Linked DNA regions of Alligator mississippiensis. The protein of the gene in region 2 purifies or fractionates together with the protein of the main gene of each other region. This does not show direct contact. Links are inferred from orthologs where the notes say so. Each region holds a gene or a part of one and is shown on either strand. Other genes may lie near its edges.

Region 1 (8,171 bases), on a different chromosome or scaffold from region 2:
CTGCCCATATTTGCCCTTATTCTTGTCAGCTGGCTTCAGGATCTGGGGAAGAGAATCGAGTCAAGGAGAGGGCATAGTTTGTTGTACCCCAGACCCCGAGAACAGACTGAGGCACTGGCTAGAGGACAGCATCTCCAGCCTGGGTGGGGGGGACAACTGCCCTCCCCCAAATCACAAGCAGCAGGGTTAGTATTCAGGGTTCAGAGCCCCTGGGAGTCTCTTGAAACCCCACTCCAAGACCCAACTCCTCCCTCATCAAGGTTTTCTACAGGAGACAGGCAGATGCTTGCAGGGTCAGGGGAAGGGAAATTCAACCCTTACCCAGCTCTGAGCCTGTGTCCGTAGGGTGAGAGCTTGGCTCATTGCCATGGTTGCCAGGGAGGGGTGGGGAAGAAGAGCCCTGGCCTGAGGCTCACCTGGAAGGAGCACATGAGGGTCTCATCCACGCTCATCATGGCACCTGCATTGTCGAACTCGCCACAGTAGTTGGGGGCTGAGAAGAGTGTCACCAGCTGGCGCTTGGCAAAGAACTCATAACCATCCTCCACCACCTAAGGCAGAAGGACAACGAAGGGCTTGGCACCAGGACTCAACTTAGCCCTCCCTCTGCCAGATGCAGGGAACCCACACAGGAGCCCTGGCTCTGCCTCCTCCGCTATAGCTCTCTGCCATCCCAACCACAGGCTCTCTTCACAGCTCTGCTCTTCACTTCTGACCCGCAACCCCTTGCTAGCCCACCCCTGAGTTCCCCTAATATGGCTCTATCTCAGGGTACAGGGTACCTGGTGTGCCCGGCAGATGAGGTCCAGATCGTGTTTGTGCAGGAATTTGGCCACAACCTCAGCGCCAAAGGTGAAGGAGACGCCACGGTCGTTCTCGCCCCAGCCCTGCACGTCCTTGTCAGGATCGGACCAGAGCAAGTCACACAGCAGGCCCTGGTCTGGCACATCCGTGGGGCGCATGATCCGCCGGATCTGCTCCATTGATTGCAGGTCAGGGGACAGCCCTGGGAAGAAAGGGGGATAAGGCTGTGAGACATCATACCCCAGCAGGGGGTGGTGCTGATCTGCTGGAGAGCATCCCCAGTGACCCCCCCACAGCAACCCTCTACCCCTACACAGCCCTGCGGAGCCTCTCCCCCCAAACCCCACCCCAGCAGTGCCTCATAAGGGAAAGGACTCCCTCTCCCCCTCCCGATCACAAGGTCTAGAGGCCTGGGCACTGTCCACCTCCATGGCAGCAGAAAATCTTCTCGTCCACAATAGCAGCAATGGGTAAGCAGTTGAAGCAGTCAGTGAATGTCTTCCAGAGCTTGATGTTGTAGCGCCTCTTGCCTGCAAAGCACAATATCTGGGATGGGAGCCTCACCACAGCAGCAGCCCCTTCTGCTCCCACCACCTAAGAGTATCTGCCTTTCCCGGGGTGCACACTCCCTTCTAGGGAGACCCAGGTCAGAGAGTCACATGGTTTGGGCCACCATAGGAGATGGGACAAGCAGCCCCCTCATAGTTGGAAGGCACCACACTTACCACATCAGCTGCCCCCAGAGCACATGCCCACATGCTTGCAGCTGGGGAGTGCACCCTTGTGACTGGGAGTGTGGTAGGGTAAGAAATTTGGTGCACAAGACAGAGATGCAGCTGATACCCTCAACTGCAGGGATGCGAGTATGAGGCACAGGCGTGGTTGATGTTTGCACATTTGCAGTTAGGTGTATGCTCACACCTGGAGGCAGGCAGAGGTTGCAATAGTGGGGGCCCAGGGTCATTAGCACTCAAATGCAGTTGATGCTTGCATACTCGCAGCACGGCCCAGGCTCAGACACAAATGGGAACAGTCATGCGTCCAGGTAGATAGGGGCAGGGGGAGGGGGGTGAAATCACACTCACATTCGTCGTAGAAACCATAGATGCGATTTATGCTGGCGCACTCGTGGTTGCCGCGCAGCAGGAAGAAGTTCTCAGGGTACTTAATCTTGTAGGCCAGCAGAAGGCAGATGGTCTCCAATGACTGCTTGCCCCGGTCCACGTAGTCACCCAGGAAGAGGTAGTTGCTCTCAGGTGGGAAGCCCCCGTACTCGAAGAGCCGCAGTAGATCGTAGTACTGCCCATGGATGTCACCTGGAGAGTGCAGGGGGGAATGGCACCCTCAGTACACAGACCTTCTCCAACCTCCCTACCAGCTACCCAGAGACCCCCAGCCCAGCAGGGAACCTATGCTGTCCCTACCAGCCCTGCCCAGAGATCCCGCATCCTCCTCCCCTAATCCCCCAGATTGCAGCCGGAGCCAGGGGACCACTCTGACCCCCCTACCCTGCCAGCATCAACAAGGGATTCCTAAGACCTGCCAAGACCTCCCACAGGGGAACCCACCACCCCCACAAATGGGGTGAGGGTGGCAATAGGGGACAAAGAAGTGTGTGTGTGGGGGTGGGGGGGCTGCTCCAATCCCCACACCCAGCCCACCTCAGCAAGAGACCCCCAGGACCTCTCGCAGGGGGACCTTCCACCCTTAGGGCTGGACTGGGGGGAGCAATGGAGAGTAAGGTGCAGGTGGGACCGCTCCGATCCCTGCGAACACCAGCCAGGACACGCTGCAACCTCCCGCAGGGGAACCCACTGCCCTAAGGCTGGGGCTGGGGGACAAGATGCGTGGACAAGGGTGGCGGTGGGCCCTGGGGCTCACCGCAGATCTTGAGCGGCGCCTCGAGCTCCAGCAGGATGGGCTGGCTCAGGAAGATCTCCCGCGACTTGAGGCACAGGCCACGGATCTCGTTCTCCGTCAGCTGCACGTTCTTGCCCGGCCGAGAGCCCTGCACTGCAGCGGGGCGGCCCACGGGGGCGGGTCACCGGGGGGGGGGGGGGGGCAGCGCCTCCCCGCCCCCGCACGCACGGACACATGCAGGCGCCCACCCACCCACGCGCGTGAGCACCCACGCCCACCCGAATGCATGTGCACACGCAGCCCTGCCGCCCGCCCCAGGCCCATCCCGGCGCCTGCAGCACGTGCCCCCCCGCCCCGCGGGCTCAGGCGAGCCCCAAGGGGGCCGCCCCTCGCGCCCTGCCTCAATTCCCCGGCCGGGCCCCGCGGCACCTTCCAGCAGGCGGCCGATGATGGAGTCGAGGTTGAGCTTCTCGCCGTCCGCCATGGCTGCCCGGCCCGGCCTGCGCTCCCCCGCCTGCTGCCTCCGCCCCGCCCCGCCCCATCTGCGGGCGGGGCGGGGCGGGGCGGGGCTGGGTCCCCGAGCCGCCAGGCCTCGCGCCCCGCCCCGCTGCGCAGCACCCGCTGCGGCCTGGGGGTGTCCTTGCAGCCAGCCGGCGGGTCGTGTGAGTGCAGGGGTCATAGTGGTCCGGGCTCCCCCGTGGCCGCCGTAGAGGACACTTCTGTCCTCTCTTGATACGAAACCCGACGCCTCTATGTCCTCGAGTTTTCTATAGAGGACGTAAAGGCGTCCAGTTTCGTATCAAGAGAGGGCAGGGGACAACCAGCTGGCCACCCTGCGCCCCAGCCCATCCTCTGGGGCAAGGGGGGCGGGGGGTGAGCAGGGCAACCGCCCTGGGCACCAAAGTGAAGGGGCACTGACAGGTGCTGCTCACCCGGGGCGGGGAGTGGGACGGAGCTGCAAGTGGCTCATTTTGGGGGGGATGGAGGGAGGATGGCTCTCGCCGCTGCGTTCACTCCCGGGCAAGCATTGGGGTGGGAGGCGTGTGCCCCCCAGATGTGTGCGCAGGGCAAAGGCAAACTGCCGCTGTGGGCTTTGCCCCGGGCACCAAACTTCATTGCTACAGCACTGCTCTGCAATGTTGCTGCCTGGTTGCCTCTCTCTCTCTTTTTAATTTTTTTTAATTTCATATTTCAGGTTGAATTTGCCAAATCAGTTCCAAAGCCTATCAATTGAGCCGAACTCAGTCATTCAAATCCATGTGGCGCTACCACTGTATCCTCCATCCCAGACTCTTCAGCCTGAGGCTTCAGATACCCCCAAATCCATTGGCTGGCATCCTACGTACAGGCCCAAGCCCAGAGGTCTTGGGGTTCAGATGTCCCCGAGTCTCGCTTGCCCTTAGGAGGTGTCCACCATTTCTATAAAGTAGGTGTGTAGCCAAGATCATCCCACTGGGAGGCTATAGTGGACTCTCATAAGGTGTCCTGTCCTCAGTGCATTGCACAGGTATGCACCCACCATTGCACACTGCCATTCAAAAGTGATCTCGGCCCCGGCAGCAGACCAGTGCAGGGACTACATTGGATCTTAATCCAGAAGAGGCCTAGTCACCTCTTTCTTCTGGATCACAGCCTCGCAGACTCTTCCGCTCTAGCCAAAAAACTTTAACCTCTGTGTGGTCATACTACCTCAGGTGATTGACAGTGAGGTACTGGAGGCACTGTCAAGAAGCTCAGGAATGCTGGACTTGGGTTGATTGAATTGTGATGGCTTTGTGACTGATGAGATACCTTTTGACTATGACTGTGTTTTGTCAAATTTACTGTGCTTTTTTAAAGATAAAAGTTTCCTATCATCTAGGAAATCAGTGCACATTCCAGCAGTTATACCCTGTTTACTTTTGCTTGGATCTCAAATTGAATACTGTCATACTAGCCCCGTAGCATATTAGTAAAGCTTCTAGTTTCCCTTTAGTTGGAGAAAAAGAGTGTTGTGTTGTATGTGACAATGTGCCACACCACCTGTACCCTACTTTTCAAAATCCTAGATCCACCCATGCCTAGGGCTGCCACCCAGTGTCACTAGGGGTCAGACAGTGCCAGTGCCCAGCAGGAGGCTCCCACCCCCACACCACTGCTTGGCAATGACTGCAGGCACTGCCCACCACTGCTAGTATCCAACACTGCCATGGGGGCTCAGCACCACCCTCAGCACCCCATGTCAATGCCTGGCTCATGATCTTAAGGCCATCACCACCATACAACCCCCTGTGACGCTGTCTGCCTTGCACCCCTGGCACAGTGCCATGTAGGGGGTGATAGCTGTGGGAGGAGCTCCCAGTCACTCCAGTACTGCCTCAGTCAGCAGGTGGAAGGAAAGAGTGAGTGCCCTCTGCCTCGAGTCCCAGGCCCACTGGCTGCTTACTCCTGGGACCTTGCCCTCCTCATGCACTCCCCAGGGTGCCTGCCACCATCCTGTGCCATGTGTCCCCCCCTAGGACGGTTGCCCACACCATGCACTGCCTCTCTAGGGGACCTGCCCCCTCCCTGCGTGCTCTCTCCCATGGGCCCCTGCGCCCCACACACACACTGCCTGCCGCCTCAGCAGTATCAGGTGCAGGAGGAAATGACTTGTGGGAAGGAAATCAGCTTGCAAGGCGCACGCCGGGGCTGAGGTGCCAGCAAGGGACAGACACACGGACACAGCATCCTGCATCAGGAAAGCCCCCCAAGCCCAGCGCAGGGCACGAGTTAGAGGCCAAGGAAGGTGAGTGGGATCCTGGGGAAGACTGGAGCACAGGGTGTCTGGACAGACGCGAGGGGATGTTCTGAGAAACTCCCCAAGCACTGAGTGTAGGGAGATTTAGAGATGAGGGCTTGCCAATAGATGTGGGGGAGCCTGCATGGGTGAGGGGTCGGACACATGCTGCATGGCCAGCAAGACAGCCCCAGCATGTCCCATACACACTGAACACACATAGATGGGGTCCTGTGCTGGGGTGCTGGGGGAAATGGGCGGACCCAGAGAGGGCACAAGGCATGGGATGCTGTGCAAGAAGACCCCATGGGGAATGGCGCCCAGGGTAGACACTGTGGGTAAGAGGCTGCAACACCCCAAACAGAAAGACTAAAGTGATAGGGGAAGGAGGCCCTGTAATGGACAGACCTAGGAAGGGAAGAGGGTGTGAGCTGTGGACAGGCAGGTCTGGAGGGGTGAGGTGCAGGGGCATAGGTGGGCAGGGCCTAGGGGGGCGAGGGGGAGGCTTAGGAGGTGGGGTGTGGATAGTTCCTTTGGGGAGAGAGTGGGGTGGGCTGTGGTGAGAGCCTATGTGAGGGTCTCTTTTGGGTGCTTGGTCCTGGGCTGTCCTGCTCCACACTCACTGTGGCCCTCTCTCCCTCCTGCAGGGTGCTCTCGTGGGCATGGCGACCAGCACCATGTCATCTGCTGACTCCTCCAGCCACAGCACCCTGGAGGACCTGTCGGATGCCTTCAGCTTGGCCCTGGAGCACCATGAGGACTCCAGCTCACTAGGCTCTGACTCTGAGTTCAATGGGGTTCCCCCATACCGCCAGACTGATCGCTATGGCTTCATCGGGGGTGGCAGTGCCCAGAATGCGTGAGTTGGGGGTGGGGGGCAGGGGTAGCCTTCCCAACTGGGAGTGCTGGGGCAATGGGGAGGCAGCCTGCTGTGCACTGAGAGAAGTATAGACCCTACAGGTGTGGGATAGGATGCCTTGGACTTCTCTCTTGGACACCTGGGTCCTATTCTGTACATGGTCTCTAGCTCCCTGGCACTGTTGTGCCTGTTGGACCTGGTGTCCAGGTTCACAACCCAACCAAGGCAATCCCTTGCTCTGAGCCTGAGTTCCAGCATGCTCCTGCTCAGCCCCATTGCACAAAAACCTACCGAAGGGCACTGTGCCCACCTGAGTGCTGGTGGTTCAGCACAGACCACCCATAGCCACAAATCAGCTGTACCTGAACCCCTTTCTCTTAGCCTTGCTAGACCCAGGGGCCCTCCCAGCTTCACCCCCTAGGCAGAGAACCCTGGCTCTGAGCTAGACAGGCTCAGCTCACATCTGGGAAAGCTAAGCTCCCTGGGGAAGTCAGGGTGAAATTCTCCTTGTTGTCTGAGAGGAGGCTTATGAGAGCATCTACCAGGAAACTGCTTCAGCCTGATGCTAACAACAAATGAGCCTGTTGTAACTGCAGCTAACCAGGGATGCAGCTGGTTAGTGCCGTGCCCTTTAGTGGTGATTAACCAGGGGTGAAATTCCAAGCTCTGTCTGCTATATAAACACATAGGATGCTGCAAACGAGTTAAGGTGTGTGTGGGGGTGGGGTGGGGAGGGATTATATTTTCTAGCTAACAGGTCAGTCAAGGATGCAGGAGGCTCAGTGTCCTCTGTCTGGGATGGCAATGTTTAGGTAGGATCTCTCCAAACTTCCACCTTCTGCATCCCGCCAGCTTGCACGGCTGAGCTCAAGATAGAGACATCCAATCTGAATCAGAGCTCTCCAGGCCCTTGGGAAACAGGATCCGTAACTCTGCCCTGTCCCAGCCCCACAGATGATGGCATCTCACTGCCCATAATTCCCCCTTTGGCTTGGACCCAGCTTGAGGTCTTCTCTGGTTTGGGTCCCTTGGGGGGTTTCTGGCAGGCAAGTGGGTCTCAGGGGATGAGCTAACAGGGCCAGGAGCACCAGGTCTGTCCCAGGAGGAGGCTCTACGTGCTGAGGGCTGCACACACCCGTTAGCTAACACTTCCTATTTCAGCAGTGAGCGGCCTCACCACATCCTGTCACTGGTCCCCATGGCAACCTGAGTGTGTGGTTAGAGATGTCAGTGCGTCATCTCCCGCCCCTCCCTGCCCTGCGCTGGCAGCTGCTGGGGCGGGAATGGAGCCCAGGGCAGGAGACAGCGTTGCTGGGGGTGCAGAGAGCAGAGCCCCATTACCTTCCTCCCCAGCTGCCCATACACAGGGTCCAAGGCAGTCCCCACAGCTGATCCCTGCCCGCAAAACATGCCCAGCCCTGCAGGCCCAATGCTGCCTAGACAATCCCTTCGCTGTCTGAGAGGGGCACTCTGCAGGTGGAAATCCCGACCCGCCTCTTTGTCTTTGCTCATGGTGACTTGCTGCTCGCTCGTTATCCAGCAGCTACTTATCCATATTAGATACTCCTTCATGTGCTACTCACGACTCAGTGATCATCACTCCCTGTTCAACACATACTCATCCCTGACACAAGTACTTCTTGCTCTGCAGTCAGTTATTCCTCCCTTACTCAAGGACTACTCCTTGCTCAGTGCTTGTACATCTCTTACAAAGGGGTGCTCCTTGCTCAGCCCTTTCCCGTTCTTTACTTGAGGAGCACTGAGCACTCCTTATTCAATGTTTTTTCGTCCCTTACTCGAGTACTCCCTGTTCAATTCTCACTCGCTCCTTACTCAAAGAGTACTCCCGATCAATGCGTGGTCATCGCTTACTTAAGTACTCCCTGCCCT
Region 2 (7,951 bases):
TTAGCTGCTGCAACACATTCTAACAATTTTTTTTGCAAATGACCAAAAGCCGTAACAAATTAAATGGAGCTGCCACCCACTATACAATTTTACCTTTGTTTGATGTTAACATCTTGCTCAGATTTTGTTTACTCTTTGCACACACAAGAAAAACGAGATGTTTGCGAGTACTACCAGGACAGTTTATCGAGCACCTTGCATATACTCCCTAGTTTACACAGTCTGAAAAGGAAGCTTTTCATTATAGAAGCAATGACTGGGTTGTACCCACTGGAGGACATACACAGCTGGAATACTCCCTAACTCTACACACCCTGAAGTATACTTATGGCATCCCTCAGGGCAAAACACTATTTTTAAAACCAAGAGAGACGAGGCAGGTCTAAGCACCATGTTTGATACTGGTCATCCAACAGCTGGCTGGACTATGGCATCCGAAATGGCTAGGCACCCCAAGAACTATGAGTCTAAACCCAGCAGGATCAACTGGGACTTTCAACTTTCCAGAGCAGCTAGAACAAGTGTTCTGTGATCTTTTCCAAGAGGGACCTGGGGCAGAGCACAAGGGGGAGGGAGAGGAATGTGTTTAGATTTAAAACTAGTATCTCTCACTGAACTTAAAATGGCACTTAGGAACAGATCCGTCTTATCCTATGCACATCTACTAAATCCAGCTGATCCAAAATGTACCGAGTCAGCCAAAATGATGCATCACGCAACAACACGGCTGCAAATGTGTTCATGTTTCAAGTCCTCTCAAAAAGCAGGGACTAGTACAGAATTTTGAAAAGGTTCTCTTGTCCCAAGCATGAAGGACACGTGCCTGGTGATCTCCACTGTTATTAAATATTTAGCATGGCTGACCATTGCTTTTTGGGGTATAACTGAAGGCATCAATCAAATTCAAAGTGGCTGGAGACATGCCTTTCCCCAAATGCAATACTCCCAGTTATAATGTGCAGAGGTATTCAAGCTGGACTCTTCTTTTAAGAGGCAAAAATTCTACTGAGAAAATGTTCTCTCACCCCCCGGAGAAAGATAAGCTTTAATATTTACGGTACTCAACAAAACCTACTCATTCTCATGAGTTTTTGCTGTGGGCCTGGACCATGACAGAAGTGAGGATGACACCTGTAACTGCAACAAGATATAGGTTAGATATTAAAAAACTTCTACCTATTCAGTGCTGGAACAAATTACCCAACAGTTGCAGAACCTGTCACTAGAATCTCCTAAATGAAGGCTAGACAAACATCTGACTGTGATCGTTTAGAAAGGAATAACCCAGCCTTGAACAGAGGCTTGGATTAGATGATCTCGAGGGCCTTTCCATCCCCATCTTTCTATGATTCCATTGATATTCCAAATGTTTAACTCCAAGTATGTGAATGAGACCCTGAACCTAGTGCTCTGAAAAGACCTATTTTATGCACAAATTGAAATAATGTCTCTGTTTATTTCCCCTGCCCCTTGTTTAAGCTGGAGACACTGACTCCCATTATGTGCTTGTACAGTATTTGGTAACAAAAGAGTCTCCATCTTGGTTAAGGCCTCTAGGCCTTGTGATGACAATATATTCAATATCATTGTGTGTAAAACAAGTGCAAGCTCCTCATTACCCGCTGTTTTGAGGGAAAAATGAAATAACTGCCTCAAACTTCTTGAACCTGTCAGTGTGACAAGGACTCAGATGCTCACTGCATAGAAAAGATCTCAAAACAGGCAATATCGTTTTACAGCGTTTTACGACAGCGATCGATAGATCTAGCGATCGACAGATCTTCTAGTCGTGGCCTTTACACATTCAACTGGAAGAATTACACTATAACAGCACCACTTTCGAATCCTAGAAGTTTGTGGATACAGGGAGCTTCACGCAAGGAACGGTGTCAGGTTGCCTTACGTCAGGGGCGGGCAATTATTTCGTGTGGAGGGCCGCTTACTGAGTTTTGACGAGCCATCTAGGGCCGCGTGACAGGCAGCCAGGGGCCAATATATATTAATTTTATAAATTTTTTAGGGGCCCCGCGGGCCAGATGGAATGGCCTGGCAGGCCGCATCCAACCCACGGGCCGTATTTTGCCCACCCCTGCCTTAAGCAGACTCTGCACAGACAGATGGACCTGTACAGACCGACGAGTGTAGCGTAAGACCCTTGGTCAATTACCATTCCTACTCTTGTGCTCATTGCTATCTTAAGCAACAGTCAAATTACTACCCGTTTATTTTAAGAGTCTTTGAAACAGCTTTCAAAGATCGAGGAAATGCACGATTCCATTCACAAAACACCCCTCAGACGTCCTCGCCCGAGCCTGCTCCCATCGTTCCCACGACAGGTTCAACATCAGACGTGCAACAGGCTGCGGAGGTAACAGCGCCCTCGACTTACGTCCACGCCACAGATTCAGCTCGTCCTACGCACATCTACCAAATCCAAAACACACTAGACCAGCCCCATCATGAATGCGCGTCACCGACACGCGTCAACCCAAAGCCACCATTCGGCGTTCGCAAATCGATCGCGGACGCGACGCTGGCAGCCCTTCTCCGCCGCACACGGCACCTACGTAGGACAACCAGGCGCTTAAGCGGCAGGGGTCGGACTAGGCGCGACCTCGGCGGCGGGCCCCTTCCAGCCCTCCTTTGCTACGGTTTTCGGTCACGGGCCGGCGTTTGCTTTTCGGTGACAGCGCAATGAAACACAACGCAGAGGATGGGACGCTCCGGAGACTCGCGTCCAGGTCGCTGAGGCCAAGATGAAGAAACACCTTGGGGGTTTGGTTGGTTGTTCTGGGGTTTTTTCCTCAACCCCTGAAGTCTCTCCGAGAAGTTGTGCTTTGCAAGTAAGCTCCGCCCGCCCTCCCCTCGGCCTGCCCTCAACACCTGCCTCCCTGCGAGCAGCCGGAGCCCGGCCGTGCCCAGCCCCGCGGCTCAGGCCGGCCCTGCAGGCACCTCTCCCCGCAGCCCCCGCCAGGAGGGACCCCGGGAGCGCGGCTCCGGCCCTGCCAGGCCCCCCCTTACCATGATGTCTCCGCGGGGCGGGGCTGGGCGCTGGCGACTCCCGGGGCCGTCCGGTCTGCGTCTGAGCCAGGCCGCGGCCCTTCCACTTCCGCCGTTGCCTAGGAGTGAACATCCGGGTCACAGCCGCCCGGCCCCGGCCCCGGCCCCGCCCCTCGCCGCCACCCGGGCCAATCAGAGCGCGGGCTGCCGGCCATCGCCAAGTATGGAGAGCGGCCCGCGTTCTGGAGGGGAGGGGAAGGAGCGGGGCGCTGGGAGAGACCATTCTCTTCTCTGGAGGGGGGTGGAGATAGAAAGAAGCAGGGTTGAATGGAGGGATGAGCCCAACTGAAAGAACAACCTGAGTCATTAAATGGGTGAAAGGAAATTAAATCAGGGAGAGGAGACACCAAGGGGCTGAGGAAGAAGGGGAAAAGGACAGGGGGAAGCAACCAACTCCAAGGAGGGGGGGAAGAACAGAGCGCCCAATCAGGGAGGGGAACAGGGAAGCCCGGGAGAAACCAATAGGGAGGGGAACGGGGGGACGGGAGAGACCAATAGGGAGGGGACTGGCGGGGGACCGGGAGAGACCAATAGGGAAGAGAACAGGGGGAGACGGGAGAGGCCAATAGGGAGGGACACTGCAACGTTACACGCCCTAGGTTCAGGGTGGTTGGTCCTGGTGCAGCAAGGGGCTCAGGCTCTCTGCAGACTCTAGCAGCCTGTTGTACAGGGATTGTGCGCACTGGGTAGTGCTTTGGGGCAGCAAGGGTGAAAAGCGGGGAAGGGGGAGAGGTCAGTTAGGTTTTTAATTAAAAAATAAAATCAAGTTGGGAAAGTGGAACCCCCCCAGCCTGCACCCGCTGTGACCCCAGCCTCCGCCACTGGGAAGCTCTGGCTTCTGCCACTGAGGACAAAGCAGGAAGTAATGGTAGTAGGAGGCTGTCGCCCTCCTGGGAGGCAGTGGGAAGGGGGATGAGGCGCACGCCCTGCTAGTGGTTCTCGGTGAGGTGCTGATAGCAGGCGGGGGGGTGGGGAGACTCCCACGTCTTGGGTTCATCCGGGCTCTAGTCTGGAGGGAAGAACAGGTCGGCCTGCTCCTGGTACCCTGAATCCTGCCCCTCCCGCCCGTCCCTGTTCTGTCTCGTACTGTCCCTCCTTCCTCCACCCACTGAGCTCTGACTCGTTCTCTTTACTCCTAGCCAGTTCCAGTTTCTACCATCTTTGCCTTCCCGTTTCAGTATGTCTCTTTGTCTAGTCTGTTCTAGTTTCCCATTCCACTGTCCCAGTCCCAGTCTTCCCCCACTCCACTGTCCCAGTCACATTTCACCACTGCTGACTCCTTATCCTAAATCCTGCATTCTGATTCCCCAATTCCCCCCGATGCTCTTTGTCCAGCCAATTCCAGTCACCCTGCCTCCCTCAGAAAGCTTTCTTCTAAGTTAGCCTGGGTGCCAAGGGGGGGAAGGTGAGAGCACGGGAAAGACCATGTCTTTAGCCTCAGACCTGGTATCTGGCTCTAAAGCAGTTTTTAAAGATTCAATTTTAGGGAAAGTCCTGCTTAATCCGTAAATCGCCGGGATGTAGTATGCTCAGCTTCATAGGCATGTAGGAGCTAAAACAAAATAAAACTTTTTCAGAGCAGATGAAACATTCATGGAATTTAGCTGCCAGACTCTAGCAAACCTTTCCCGAAAAGGTGTGAGCTGAGCTTTTTTTTTTTCAAAGTTTATAACTCGGATAAAAATTCATGTGTTTTCTTTTTTCACCCCAGGAACATCAAGAGGCATATCCCTGACACCTGATGACCACACCACGTGCTAAACTGTAAGCCTCTGCTTCAAAGCATTAAGGTACTACAGCTTCTCAATTAAACAATTGTATGAATGATTTTTACATGAGCAGAGCACAAGAGGTCCGTTTAATCTCATTCTGGGGAATATCTGAAAGTATTTAACAAAACCTTTCCAAAAAAAATCAGCCTGACGCAAACACCTAGCATAGAAAATTCCAGTGCAAGCCACTAGCATTTTGGCAAAGTGATGGGAACTGGATCTTACAATAGGAAGTGTTGGGTAATTTGAAGAATAAATGTCACTGTCTGTGCTGCCTATAATATATATTAATTATGCTTAGATTCTGGAGCACAAGTTATAGCTCCTAGCTACGTAGAGGGAACATTAATTCATTCCATAGGCAACCCATCATTCTTATGAAGAAATAGAAGCCTTAATTCAGCAAAGCATGCAAGTACCTGATTAAAGTTAGGCGGGTCTTTGGTGCATTACAGTGCTTGTAATATGGGGACCCAAATGCAAGAAGATGAAAATCAGGAAGTCTCAAGGTCTGTGTGAGTAAAGTACATCACCACTCCACTCCACCCTGCTTCCAGCAAAATAACAATTAATTAACTGTTTCAGGTGATTTATTAAATCCTGTTATTTGAGCCAAAACTGATCCTGAATCTGGCCTCTGTGTGCTGGTATTTGTGAATCACTGCTGACACATGGTTTTGACTTTATGCCCAGATGTAACTCAACTAAAGTCCGTAGAGTTACCCCCAGGGGAGAATCCACTCCATTATGGGGCAACATTTTCCTCTATAGTTCTCTTGGAACAATTGTTTGGCCCATGTTTCAAAAGGGCTTGAGTGCCAGGTTTGTGAGGACCCTCTGCTGGTGCTTTTTGGCATCTGAATTGCAGGCTTGTCCCTAACATGAGCCAAAAACCCTCTTGTTGTTCCTTTATTTTTCTTAGCCTGGAAGCATGCTCTATGGAAACTGGAAATCCTGACAAGAGGAGTCACAAAATGCTTCCTTGTCTGATGTAATGTCGTGGGAGCTGGCATGAGCGTCTCTGATAATGGTGTGGGCAACACTTGCACGAAGATTGTAACAGAAACTGTGTATTTTCGGATGAATGGCTTCTATTTTTCCATGTAATATTATGTGCATATGTCCTTCTGGCAGGAAATGACCAGGGGGTAGCTCTGATTTTACCCTAATATGTTATCACAGTTGTTCATGACTTGAATCTAAATGCTATTAAATATTAGCTCCCATTTAGAACTTTACCAAAAGGACGCAGCTCTGCCAGTGCCCATTTTTAGTGAATTTAACAAACAGTATGCACTAAACAGCTACAGATTTCCATTTTGAAAATGACAGCACTGGATTCCCTGAGCCACAGTCTATACCGGTGTAAATCAGCAGAGCTGCACTGAAGCCAGTAGCGCTATGTCACTTTGCATAATAATTTGACCTCCTCATTCTTGCCTCAAAACACTCATATGAGGTAGGCAAAGATTATTAGGCTTTTAATTTAGCAGATCTGCTGTACAGCTTCTCTCTGCTCTCAGGCTCTTATTGCGCCTCTGTGGTCAGCAAAGGAACATACAGCAAGAGAGAGAGAAACTGCAGCCGGGTGTATTTTAAACAATTTCCAAAATCCAAACGAATGTTGAGGCCAAGAGGATGTTTTCCTTAGTGGCAGAAATACAAGCATCCTGGATTCTGTTTTCCTGCTAATAGGTATAAAGACGAATAAACAGCTGCTTTCTGTTTTCCCAAAAATATTTGCATTAAGATGATCTGCAAATTCCTGCTCAGATTGATGGAACATCTCTTCAAATGAGGACCAGCTGCTTGCTCTGTTTGTTTATGGCAGGACATGCTTAAGAGACCTTTTTTTTTTTTTGTTTGTTTATCAAAATGTGGGACCAGACTCTTTCTGGTGGGCTGTAATCGCAGTGTGGGTGATGTCTGAATAAGGGGCGAGTCTGTGCATGTAACTGTGGTTGCAGCCATCCCACCTTCTGCTGTGATTTTCTGCGATTGTCAGCTAACCGAAGTTGGACTAGGGCTATTCGTGAACGGGAGGCTTCCAAGAAATGCCAAAACAGAGCAAGAGGAAGTGACATCGTTGTTACTGAACTGTTCCAAGTGGTATACTATCTAAAGGTATTGCCTTTAGTATGAGAGATTTAAAAAGGCTTTCTAATTTGGTACCCTTAAAAAGCGCACAGTATTAATTTCCAAGAATATATATGATGTTAACTGCAAGGTGCTGGGGTAATAATACAAAACTGAGCAGTGGCATGCTCTTGGCTTAAGTTCCCTTTGTAGTTTGCAGTTGGATACAGGATTTTTGCCTTCCATTCCACGTTGCACAGAAACTACTTTGCAACAATATTAAACAGTTGTGTTCCTCCCTAGAGCTGGTTGCACTTCATGGCTGAAGAAGCAACCCTTGTGCATCCTGTTGTCCCTATATTGTTTTTCAAATTGCCTATAAAATACCACAGGGATTTATGATTTTGTGGAACCAATAATATTAATAAATCAACATATAACGGTTTTTAAAGGGCACAGATTAAAGGCACAATATGAGGAATAACAGTAGCATCACCTTTGCCAATGACTGGCTTTCTCTCAACGGAAGTGATTTGCTGCTGTTCTTGAAAGCAGACTGAGATGAGTTTATGCAGTTCTCTTGTAGTAGCTACATGAATATAAAGGTCACAGAGACGCAGCTGGAGCAGAGAGAAGAGGAAACTGGAAATCCTCTGAGTCTCTGGTCAAGGAAATTCCTGGGACTGACACGGTGCTGTACCAAAGAGTGAAACCTGAAGAAAACAAAGGAAAGCACAGGATGAAATCCAGGATTAAACATTACCCAGGAGAAGAAACTTCAGGGTAGGGTCGCCTGCAAAGGATGCCTCGCAACCGGCAGTTGAAGAGGCAGTCTCTCTGGCAACCAGAAGGCAGGATGAGGAAATGAAGGAGACAGAAGGCAATATGGATAAACACTATTAGCAGCGGGAGTTTGTGAGAGCACAGAGAGCTTATAGATAGGGACCAGGTTCTGGGCTGTTCTGCACTCTGTATAGTTATTCCATCTGTGCAAAGTGAGTACAAAGTGCTACTAAATAAAGAACGGCAGGAGGTTACACTCA

The links.
Region 1: the proteins of CAPZB (region 2) and PPP1CA purify together in Homo sapiens (affinity purification with mass spectrometry; 3 studies listed by BioGRID and IntAct, with this or other methods). This does not show direct contact. The link is inferred for Alligator mississippiensis from reciprocal best matches to the Homo sapiens genes CAPZB and PPP1CA.

The regions. Positions count from the first base shown.
Region 1 is NC_081825.1:176,232,813-176,240,983, forward strand, and holds the start of PPP1CA (serine/threonine-protein phosphatase PP1-alpha catalytic subunit), read right to left. Parts: upstream 3,202-8,171; 5' UTR 3,149-3,201; coding exon 3,094-3,148; intron 2,818-3,093; coding exon 2,686-2,817; intron 2,121-2,685; coding exon 1,890-2,120; intron 1,335-1,889; coding exon 1,230-1,334; intron 1,007-1,229; coding exon 783-1,006; intron 552-782; coding exon 417-551; intron 43-416; coding exon 1-42. Other genes in the region: TBC1D10C (carabin), read left to right, coding at 6,085-6,281. UniProt on the Homo sapiens protein: Protein phosphatase that associates with over 200 regulatory proteins to form highly specific holoenzymes which dephosphorylate hundreds of biological targets.
Region 2 is NC_081836.1:5,010,959-5,018,909, forward strand, and holds the start of CAPZB (F-actin-capping protein subunit beta), read right to left. Parts: upstream 3,133-7,951; 5' UTR 3,025-3,132; coding exon 3,022-3,024; intron 1-3,021. UniProt on the Homo sapiens protein: F-actin-capping proteins bind in a Ca(2+)-independent manner to the fast growing ends of actin filaments (barbed end) thereby blocking the exchange of subunits at these ends.